Linked DNA regions of Drosophila melanogaster. The protein of the gene in region 1 binds, or shares a complex with, the protein of each later gene. Each region holds a gene or a part of one and is shown in the gene's direction. Other genes may lie near its edges.

Region 1 (3,554 bases):
ATGAGCACGAAGTTAATTCCGTGGATCGGGAGGACACCGCCAGTTTGTTCAGCACTACTACGACCACCACCAGAAGCAAATCGCCAAATACACGAAAATTGAACCGCCTGTGTCGGCGGATCAAGGCACCCAAAATGGTTCAGCCCTTGTACAAATATAGGTGTGATTTTTCCAGGCAGAACATAAGTCATAATGTTTATATCCCGGATGCATTGCAGCTCCCATGTCCGCGAGGACCACAACCATCAGATCTTCGGAGTGCAGTTCAATCCGTTCCTGGACAGAGGCCAGCCGCAGGTGTTCGCCACCGTTGGCAAGGATCGGGTTTCCATTTATGAGTGCGAGAGGAGCACCGGACAGGAGTCCTGCGAAGGCATTCGACTGCTGCAAGTCTACGCAGACCCAGATGTAAGTACTCATCATATGCTATTACTTACATACATCATCGTTACGCCCTCGTTAGACCGATGAAAGTTTCTACACATGCGCTTGGTCCTACGACTCTGTGACCGGCGATCCTGTGCTTGCCGCGGCTGGTTACCGCGGCGTCATTCGCATATTCAATCCGGTTAAGCACCAGTGCAGCAAAAACTACATTGGTCACGGGCACGCCATTAACGAGCTGAAGTTTCATCCGACTAGACCGCAGTTACTTCTGTCCGGCAGCAAGGATCACTCCCTGCGCCTTTGGAACATTCAGTCGGACGTGTGTGTGGCGGTTTTCGGCGGCGTAGAAGGACACCGCGACGAAGTGTTGTCTGTGGACTTTGATTTGCGCGGTGATCGCATCATGTCCAGTGGAATGGATCACTCACTGAAGCTCTGGCGACTGGATAAGCCCGATATAAAAGAGGCCATCGAGCTGAGCTCTGGTTTTAGTCCCAACAAGAATACGGGTCCGTTTCCCACGATCAAGGAGCACTTTCCGGACTTCTCGACAAGGGATATACATCGAAATTATGTGGATTGCGTTCAGTGGTTCGGCGACTTTGTCTTTTCGAAATCCTGCGAGAACTCAATTGTTTGCTGGAAGCCGGGCAAACTTTCAGAATCGTGGCATGAGATTAAGCCACAGGAGTCGGCCACCACGGTGCTGCATCACTTTGACTACAAGATGTGCGAGATCTGGTTCGTACGCTTCGCCTTCAACGCCTGGCAAAAGATTCTGGCCTTGGGCAATCAACTGGGCACAACATTTGTCTGGGAATTGGACTGCAATGATCCCAATTTAACAAAGTGTAGCCAGCTGGTTCATCCCAAAAGCAACTCCACCATCCGACAGACTTCCTTCTCCAAAGACGGTTCCATTTTAGTTTGCGTGTGCGACGACAGCACCGTGTGGCGATGGGATCGCGTCAATTAGGATGAGTGTTTCTAGGCTAAAAGAATTTTCCTTATCCTTCTAAATCCGATACCATATTTATGTAACCATAGTTATTTTCAGTGTAATGTTTACCTTCAATATTAAGTATGTTATTATGCGTAGCATTTATATACAATACTCATTGTATTGACAATTTATGTTAAATTATGTTAAATTTTTTAACATTAACCAAGATATTTATTCTATTCTATTACTTTTTTAATGATCAAATAGCTTCGCAAATATTATCATCTTATGTTGTGTGAATGGCGTGGGCTCTATCTTTAATGTTTATATTTTAACTAACTAACTTGTACACAATAAAAACTGTGAACACTAAAGATTAAAACCAATATTTTTTTAAAGGGTTCTTCAAAAATAACGGTTTTTATCTCAAATGTATCTGGTATTTTCAGCCGTTCTTTGAACGGTCACTCGAATCAGCTGCATTCATTTGTTTATATAGCAATTCGCAAACAGTTGGATTTTCCTGTTTAGTTGTTATTCCCATTACTAAAATGCTTACCGACAGAGTTCTGGCCACCAAGGAGGCGCTAGTGGTGGCTCTGGGCGACAACTGGGAGCGTTACCGGGCCAACATGAAGAATTGGTTTCGGAGCCGTTGGACTAAGGAGGAATTCGATGCGGAGTCGCGGAAAATCCTAACACCTGACAAACTGCACCTGCACAATCAGTTCCTGCTCGCCCTGCTCAACAAGATCGACGCCTTTGCTCCCCTGGAGAATCCTCCGGCCGTCCAGACCAGCAGCAGTAGTGGCAACCGAAGCAAACGGCGCAAAAGAAGTTCCCGCACCTTCGCCGAACGCCTTAATTTTGAGCTCAGCGACGTCCTGGACTTTGTAGCCGAGGACAACATGCAAATCATTCGTCCGCCAACCACGATCGGTATTCCGTCGGACCAGCAACAGCAACAGCTTCAGTCGCAGCGGTACTGCGCGCAGGAACTTTTCCTGCCCGACGCGGGATTCATTATGGGACGATTTCTGATCGGTGCCTGGGAAATCGGACTTGTCTCCGTGGACGACAATGTCGCCGAGTACGTTGCCATGGCCGTGCAAGTTCTGCTCAAGGATCTACTATCGGCAATCATCAAGAAACGAAAGCACTACAAGACCAGCGGCGAGGGAAACTTTTACTACGATGTAGGTGCTCCGTTGCGTGATCCTTCGCTGCGCAACACCGTCACCCGGCAGAAGGTCGACGACACGCCGCTGGAACTGGACAAGGAACTGAATACGGCCAACTTTATGCGGCGACAGAACGACGATGTGACCTTCCTCTCCGCCTGCGAAGAAGTGTAAGCTCCTGAATAATAATGAGATTTTCATGTGAAACACAAACTTAGGTTTTGTTTCTTTCAGCCAACCCACCGAACGCACAGTAATCACCCTCAAGGACTGCCAACTGGCCTTACGGGATCGCAACCTGATAGGCTCGCATGCCGTCTACTCTATAAACATGGAACGACTCAATATGATGATGCATTAGCTTATAAGTTCTAATTATTTTATTATATCAGCTTCTGTAAAAATATATACATTATACGCTAGTGTACCATTAAGTGTTTGGTTCAGCAAAAATTCCGTGGAGGCGGTTTGAATGGCAAGGCACCTGGTAGAAATTGATCCGCCTTGAATGCTTCGATTTCCTGCTCGTTGAGATCCTCCATGCGACTGTAAACTGAGGACTGGATTTCGTTGGTCGGTTGAGCTTGCTGCTGCTGCTGCTGCATCATTTGCTGTTGCTGTTGCATTTGAAATTGTTGTTGCTGCTGCTGCATTTGTTGCTGTTGCATCTGCTGCTGCTGATGCATTTGTTGCTGTTGCATCTGTTGCTGCTGCTGCATCTGTTGCTGCTGCTGCATCTGTTGTTGATTAGGGAATGCAGATGCTGCTGCTTGAGCAAATAATCCGGAGGCAGCTGCCTGCTGCTGCTGTTGTAGTTGCTGAGAAGCCTGAGTAAACATTCCGCCCATATTTTGGCTTGCGGCTTGGCCAAAGATTCCCGTCGACTGTGGTTGCTGCTGCTGCTGTTGGAAACCACCGAAAGGATTAGGATTCACTGGCTGAGCTTGCACCTGAACCTGCGCCTGGGCGAAAATGTTGCCCCCTTGGAAAGCTTGTGCAGCAGGCTGCAGCTGTTGCTGCTGTGGCTGTCCAAAGACACTTTG
Region 2 (3,751 bases), about 11 Mb from region 1:
ATTGTCTGACCGACTTGTCCTAGGATTAACCTGCTCTTAAATGCTGCACTTTGTGGAGGATCAAGCCAAGCTGTTGCCCAGCTCCATCAAGGATTTGCAGGCGAGGCGGCATTTCCGCATCCCAGTTGGTCCGATTCTCGCACTGGGGCTTCTGCAATTGCCCGTCTGCATGGTGTACAACCTGGTGATGGCCATCACCACGGACTTCCAGTCCACCACGTATACCACCTGTAATGCCTTCAACATCTTTCCCTCCACATCGGCGGCTGCCAAGTCTCAGCACAAAGTGTGGGCTCTGGCTTGCTACCTGGAGTTCCCATTTCTCATTGCCAGTGCATGGCTGCAGTTCCGATTCTATCGGAGGAATCTGCGCAGGCCGGTCCGAGGTTTCGGCTGCCTGATGGCCATCATTATGGCTGTCAGTAGTTCCAGCGTACTGCTATGGGGCACCTTCCCCCAAGAGGATGGCGACTCATTGCTGCACATAACCATCGCCTTGTCGCTATTCGTATCGTGTGCCATTTACATGGCAGGTTCCTTTGTGTGCGCCAAGTACTATATGAGCGATAGGATTGGGCAGCTGCATGAGGAATTCTCCTTGCGGTTGAAGAGCGGTCTGGTGCTCACCTACTACGTCTGGGTGGTGGTCATGTGGATTTTTTACTTTATACACCAGAAGTTTTGCTTTCCCTTGGGTGAGTAGAACCTAACCGAATGGAAGGATGTCTACAATTCTAATCCCCGGATCCTCTGCAGCCTACTCCGTATTCGGTATGGGCGAGTTCATCTCCTGTGAGTGCTTCTTTATCTATCTATGCACGGTCTACTTTGACTTCTACCACGTCTACATATGTTACGACCAACGTTTGGGTTTCTTCCTCAGCGAGATGTAAACAGTTCCCAATTCCTTATAAAATGTATTAAACAAAAACAAGCAAAAAACATAAAAGGAATGCTTAACGTTACGTCTCGTAGATGCGCACCAGGTCGTCCAGACTGATGGGATAGTGGGTGACCGGGCAGGTGCCGTGCTCCTTCATGTGGCTAACGATGCACTTCCAGCAAAAGACGTAGCCGGAAACGGAGCAGGCAGTGGGCGTCTGGATGGACAGCAGGCAGACTGGGCACTCTCCCCGCTGGGGAAGGCTCTGCTGCACTTCCTTGGGCAGCTGCTTTCTCGGCATCGCTTCGGGATTTATCAGAGTTCCACCCACTTTCCGCCGCTGGTCGTTGGAGTACCACCACTGGACGAACTGCAGGAAGAAGGCCAAGACCTCCAGCATCTTTAGGACCACGTAGGTCCACTGATCCTCTTTGGGAGGTTCGCTGGGATAGCGAAGGGTCAGCCCCAACAATCTGAAGATGGGCGAGTGGTTTGAGGCGTACTTTACGAGGTAAAAGAATGTGTGCGCCGCCTTGGCGGCATGGAAAGCATGGAATGCGCTTAGAAGGCGTTGCTCCCAGGGACTGGTGTCCTCGTGCCTGGTGATCCTGGTCCTTAGCTTCCGCTCCACGTAAGGCATGAAGGTTAGCAGTGTGGCAGAGGCGAACTGCTGCCTGCGGTTCAGCAGATCCCCAGTGGTTGTGACCGTCCTTTGCAATCCGTAAAAGCTCTCACCGAAAGAGGAGGCCCTCTTGCGCAGATACAGGTACTGCAGCAGCCAAGTCAGCAATGGCGACAGCTCCTCCTGAATCCTCAAACTCCCCCATAGTTTAAAGTCCAGGCGTAGTCCAAAGTAGTCGAATATCTTGCTCAGTGCCGGGTAAATCAGGTTGTCCAGCGTCTCTGACGCTGAAATTTCGAAGATCGACGGCACATTTTGAAGGTTCTGGCGCACATTTGCCGCTTCTGCCATTGTGTTTATAGCATTTAAATAAATGGAATTAAATTCGAATACCAATTATGTTGTTATTCTTATCAGTACTGGTGTTATCGGGCTTGGCTTGAAAACAGTCGAGTGCTCATCAATATATCGATAAGTCGTTGGCACCATCGATAGTTGGGTTAATAATCTGGCAAGATTTGTTTATTTTGTGGTGCAGCTTCGTTGTTTATTTACCAACTGTTGAAAATATATACATTTATGAATTATACAAAACCAAGAAGATGAAAACCTCTGGCGCCAGCAATACTGACGAGCTGAACAAGTCATCGCACAGCAAAGTCAGCAAAAAGTCCACTAAGTCGCGATCTAAGTCGGCGAAATTGGAGTTGACTGGAAAGAATTCCCTGTCGGCATCCGCATCATCCTCCATCGCATCCGCAGTGAGCGGGGGCGTTGCAGTGGGCAGCCTGCCGGCCACGCCCACTCACCTAAACATGGTGACAACGCCCACCACGCCAACATCTAGTCTGGGTAACTACAATCTGTTTGACGCCTCATTTGCGGTAGCAGGAAGTGGTGGGCACGGACTTGCAGGCGGCATCGCGGGCGCAGAAGCCTCTGGCAACTCCAGTCGAATGGTAAGGATGCCAATCTCAGGGCCCTCTTATGGTACAAGCTCTCTTTACTGTAGGGTCATCAGAAGAGCTATGCTGGTTTCGATCCGCGCAGCATCAAGATCTTTTGGGAGCAGCACGACCAGACCGATGTGGAACTCTCCCAGGATGTGTGCGCCCGTTTGGCGGAAGATGCCTCCTACAAAGTCTGGGAGCTGATCAATGTAAGTCGACCGTAATACACCTCTTTAATCCCTCTAACCTCTTGATCTCTCAGAATGTCAAAATATACTCGCGCCACTCGGGCGGAGTGGTGACATACGACCTGGTGAACGAAGTGCTAAAAGATGCCGATGTGCCGCCTATGCTGGGTGCGATGGACAGCGACTGGGACCGGATCGACTATGACGGCAGTTTTTACTTTCACTCGGATAAGATCTTCGAGCTGAGCGCGGAGTTTCAGAAGGAAGTCAATCTGTGCACACCTGATGATGCAGACTTTCAGAGCATCTGCCCAGTGGAGGATAAGCACATGGACCAACTAAGACAGTGTGTCCAGAGTCTTGTGACGGCAGCCCTTTTTGCGGACAGCAAATCCCAGACGGCCGCCGTCTGCCATGCTTTTCAGACACCCCTGATGGGATCTATCTACCGAGTGATTGTGAGTAAGATGGTCCAGTTGCTAGCCTTTAAGCAGCAGGACCATTTGAGCCAGCGATGCTGGCGACTGCTCCGAGCATGCAACTACAACGCCACTGCTAATCACAATGCCTGCCGGCCGGAGTACTTCAACCTGGCCGAGGTACTGGTCAGCCAGCTAATGGCACCTTACGAAACTATCAAAGCTCCACACGTCGACCCAGATCCGGGACAAACCACCTCCATCAAAATGGAGTTTGAAGAAGAACTAAAGGTTGAGCCAGACCAGTGCCATAATCCGGAAACCCAGGAAAATCCGGAGGTCATGGGAGTAGAGAAACAGGAGCAAGAACCCCAGATGTTTCCGGGTGAGAGCACCATGGAACACACAATCTACAAGCTGCAATCGGAGGAGGAGGAATTGAATCCTCAGCCGGAGGCGGAACACCTATCCAGCTACTTTGCCTGTCCAGTCGGCAATGGCCTGGTGGACGAGCTGTGTGAAACTATAGGACAGCTGGCATCTCAAAGTGGTTACCTACATGCAGAGTGCCTGTTTTTGATCAAGAGACGCCTAGCGAGATTCTTCGAAGGTCGCCACGTCAGCAGTGAGAGAGGTAAATCATCCTTACAATTTGTTAGCCTGGATCCTTATCTTTGGATTTCTTAATT
Region 3 (3,751 bases), on another chromosome or scaffold:
TACAGATCTTTCATCCGTCATCGTCATCATGGTTCAGGTTCATGTAATGGAGTCGTGGAGGGGAGCGGGGGAATGAACGGCGACGGTACTAGTGGTGCGGGTGTTTCGCAGCCCCTCCAGGTTGGTCTGTCGTTGTTTCTCCATCGTCGTGTTTTCCGTGTGGTTTCATGTGCAGGACTTAATCCGAAGTGTGTGTGCTTGACTAGACGCCGAGGAAAGCTAGTGCCGGTATCAGGATCTACTCCAGTCCCAGCATCCAGTTGATGCCTTGTACTATGAAAAAGATGAGCGGCTGCCAGGCCACCAGCCAACGAATCCAATCCAGCAGGCGACCGTACAAAACGTGCGGCTTCTCCCAGCTAGAGGAGAAACAATATTAAGTAGGCCAGTCAAACGGATGGCTCTGAATGGCTTACGGATTGCGGAACATCTTCTGGAGATCGACCTTTTCCTTGCAGTAGGGACACGTCTGCTTCTTGCCCACAATGCACCAACCACGTATACAGAACTCGTGGAATACGTGGTTACAAGACAACTTGTAGGTGTTCTCAATGACGCCCTCTTCCTTCTCCGAGACCAGCAACTGATTGCCACACACTGCGCAGACATTCTGATCAAGATGTCGTGTTGGAATACCCTGAGGTGTGTAGTACTGTGGGACAAACGGGAGGGTTAGAAGATTCCAACTGGGTATCTGGCCAATGGTCAACTCACGCCAATAGCTGCCGCCATCTTATCCGAACATATCTCGGATATATCACGCCCCAGGACGCCGATGTACAGGCCGTAGAAGCAGAACATCAGGCCCACATCCATCCATGTGTTTGGTGGCTGTGAGAACATGTAATTCATGCCCAGAAAGGCGGCTATGATCACCAGATAGCCCACCAGGCCAAGGCCATAGCTGAGCTTGTAGATGAAGTAGAACCACTTGTAGACCAGCCTGAAATTGGATTTTATGGGTTATTATCTGGCCTTCGTCGGTCGCCGTTCTTATCTACGTTGACTCACCTAGGCGTTGTGCCCTGGATGGGCTTGCTGATGGCCCGTCGCATAACCAGTGCCGTGATGCAGGTGAACACCAGCCAGATGATTATGAAGCGCAGCCAGCCGAAGCTGCAGGAGATGATCAGCGGAATGAGCCACATGGCCAGCAGGGTGACGAAAGCGTAGGATCTGTAGTGCCGCTTCTTCCACTCGACCAGGATGATCTGGGCAATAACCAGGGTGACGAACAGAATGATCACCATCTCGGAGTGCATGGCATCGTGGCCGCGATGTTTCTCCACCATCAGTTGATGCTGCGCTCTGTTCGATTGGATAGCCGAAAATTTGTTATGATTTAAAGGATTTTCTAAGGCCACTTCACTTACCGCATTCGCTCCTCCGGCGTCATTTCGTCCAGGGACTGATGGACATCCGCATTAGCAGGGAATTGCAGGGAAGAGGGAAAATTTGGCAGTAGAGTGGGGCTTCCTATTCGATTCCCATTAGAAAAGACTCACCTTGTTCAAGTCCACGGGCTCATGCAGGTCCATGTGCTCCTGGTGCATCTTATTGCCGTTGTATCCGCCGTATCCCGCTGCCGCCAATCCGCCGGACAGTCCCACTCGTCGTCTGCGTCGCTGCGTTATCTTGCCCACCACGTATTGCGATCGGTTTTTACCTTTGAAATTCGTGAAACGAAAACAAATAATTACATTTTATGCCTGTGTGCTTGTCCAGCTGCAGTGGCGTTGCCATTTGTCACAGCGGCCGAAAAAACGAATACATGTATGTGTGACGTGAGCCACAAAAATACAAGCGCGACCTGATTGTTAGAACCAGCTGTCCTGAGTATGGGGTTTTTCCCAAATTGTTGCTATTTTATCATAACCTTTATTTACTTTAGCTACGACAGCGCTTTCTGATTATCGAAAACGAAACGTTCGAGGCCAACGTTGCCAGATGCCGCTGCAGGCCGTGCCGATGTTTACCGACAATCAGCTGTTTGGTTCAATGAGTTGAGTATTTCGTTCCCAGCGCAAGCAAACTTATCGATAGTCCCGATAACCAACCATGTTATTTTAGGGCCCGATAAGTAAACAACAATATATTGTTAAGTAAATGTTGTACGTAGGTTTTTAAGCGAAATAAACATGCAAACAGAGCACTGGGGCTCGCTGCCCGCAGAGGATGACGGCGGTCAACTGACGCCGGACAAATACGTGCCCACGGCGGCCAAGAAACTTAAGCTGGACGAGATTCGCCAGCGCGGAGATCCGCAACCGCAAGAAAAGCAGTAAATAAATCTAAAGAAAAGCTTTAACGCAGCCGGTAAACTAACCATATATTCCATGTAGCCACAAGTTGGAGCTGAGGAGTGCGCTGGTCACCCAGACCATCGAGGTGATGAAGCAAACCGAGGTGCTGCAGTCCCTCATTGAAACGTACTCCAACAAAAATGCAAGTTCTTGGTTCTTGTTTAACCGTAGTATTTACCTAATTTACCCAATGAATTCATAGGGAAGTTCCAATTACCTCTTGAATCCGTGCCTAATGATACCGGAAGTGGACTTTCCGCCGGAGAACGCAGCCGAACTGGTGGGCAGCCAAAAGTTTCAGAAGCCCATTTGGTTCACACCAACCGTGGACACAGCCTACTCTCGCGGGGATCCGGAGGCATATCCGGAGATCCCCAGCTCTGCTTGCCGCCAGGCGATGCGCAAGGTGATGTGCGGCATGCTGCGCCTGGCCGGCTTCACCGACTGTTCCGAGTCGGCGGTGCAACTGCTGACGGACGCCACCGAGGAGTTCCTGCGCAGCTTTATCGGCGAGTATCGCGGCTACTATGACAGTCAGCCGCGGCTGCAGAATTCCACGGTGCTGCAGCTGGTCCCACTGGAGCGCGCCCATTTCGCCCAAACGGGCACCTCGCTCACCCAGGTGCACAACTACTACAAGCACAAGGTGCTGGCCAGGAATCGCGCGGAGATCGCTGAGTTCAACAGCGTACTGCAGGAGTACGACAAACTGATGAAGGAGAGCCAGAGCAGCATGCAGAAGCAGCACAACGAGTTCAACGGCCACGACTTTCTCAACATCCTGGACAACAGCGCCACAGGCAGCAGCCAGAGCATAGGCGGCATGGCCATGGGCGATATGCTGCAGGATCTGGGCGGTAGCACGGGCTCCAGTGGCACAGTCAGCTCCCAGCAGATGCTGTACGGCCTGCTCGATGGCCAGATATCGTCCAATACCTCCAACATGACGGGGACGAGCGGCAATGGCAGCACGGGCGGCAATGGAAATGGCAATGGGGCCACGATTAGCAACTTTCACGCCACTTTTGAAACGTAATTGTTAAAATTGCGGGGATAACTTCATTATCTCACACTGAGATATCTCTAGCAATCAAATGTTTCACACTTTTTATAGAACGACTAAGATCTCTAGGCTCAAGTTAAGTTAAGCTCTAAGGAAACGTACTAATTAAATAGTTTTTATTACGTGTTTTGTTTATTGCTCATCTTTTTGCTAATCCTCGACTCGTTCCAGTTGTTTTGTCGCCTCCGCTTGGTGAACTCGTTGGTGGGTTCAATGGCCACAAGTTTGGTTGCATTCGGATCGCTGGCTCTGTACTGGAACACTTTGTCGTGGCGCGTCTTTTTCTGGGCCCACGCCAGCAGGTCCCTGCCTTCCAGTATGGAGTTGCCAGTGACCACCACAGAGTCCAGAGCTTCGGGCGCGGATTGGTCTTCTTCGGGGGTCC

Evidence for each region.
Region 2: Ada1-2 (region 1) and Saf6 share a complex: the UniProt entries of both Drosophila melanogaster proteins name them as parts of the spt-Ada-Gcn5 acetyltransferase (SAGA) complex.
Region 3: Ada1-2 (region 1) and Spt7 share a complex: the UniProt entries of both Drosophila melanogaster proteins name them as parts of the spt-Ada-Gcn5 acetyltransferase (SAGA) complex.

Annotation. Positions count from the first base shown.
Region 1 is NT_033779.5:11,991,112-11,994,665, forward strand, and holds Ada1-2 (transcriptional adaptor 1-2), read left to right. Parts: upstream 1-1,790; 5' UTR 1,791-1,881; coding exon 1,882-2,681; intron 2,682-2,745; coding exon 2,746-2,872; 3' UTR 2,873-2,943; downstream 2,944-3,554. Other genes in the region: escl, read left to right, coding at 1-160, 219-408, 464-1,363; CG18789 (uncharacterized protein), read right to left, coding at 2,955-3,554. UniProt on the Drosophila melanogaster protein: Component of the transcription regulatory complex SAGA, a multiprotein complex that activates transcription by remodeling chromatin and mediating histone acetylation and deubiquitination. The SAGA complex predominantly acetylates histone H3.
Region 2 is NT_033779.5:814,188-817,938, reverse strand, and holds the start of Saf6 (SAGA factor-like TAF6), read left to right. Parts: upstream 1-1,988; 5' UTR 1,989-2,107; coding exon 2,108-2,464; intron 2,465-2,517; coding exon 2,518-2,664; intron 2,665-2,717; coding exon 2,718-3,696; intron 3,697-3,751. Other genes in the region: CG15880 (uncharacterized protein), read left to right, coding at 41-695, 757-893; Pex12 (peroxin 12), read right to left, coding at 963-1,856. UniProt on the Drosophila melanogaster protein: Component of the transcription regulatory complex SAGA, a multiprotein complex that activates transcription by remodeling chromatin and mediating histone acetylation and deubiquitination. The SAGA complex predominantly acetylates histone H3.
Region 3 is NC_004354.4:17,848,403-17,852,153, forward strand, and holds Spt7 (Spt7), read left to right. Parts: upstream 1-2,057; 5' UTR 2,058-2,138; coding exon 2,139-2,281; intron 2,282-2,342; coding exon 2,343-2,445; intron 2,446-2,505; coding exon 2,506-3,339; 3' UTR 3,340-3,485; downstream 3,486-3,751. Other genes in the region: CG15814 (uncharacterized protein), read right to left, coding at 239-359, 417-652, 715-943, 1,012-1,308, 1,374-1,408, 1,506-1,553; CG32554 (uncharacterized protein), read right to left, coding at 3,486-3,751. UniProt on the Drosophila melanogaster protein: Component of the transcription regulatory complex SAGA, a multiprotein complex that activates transcription by remodeling chromatin and mediating histone acetylation and deubiquitination. The SAGA complex predominantly acetylates histone H3.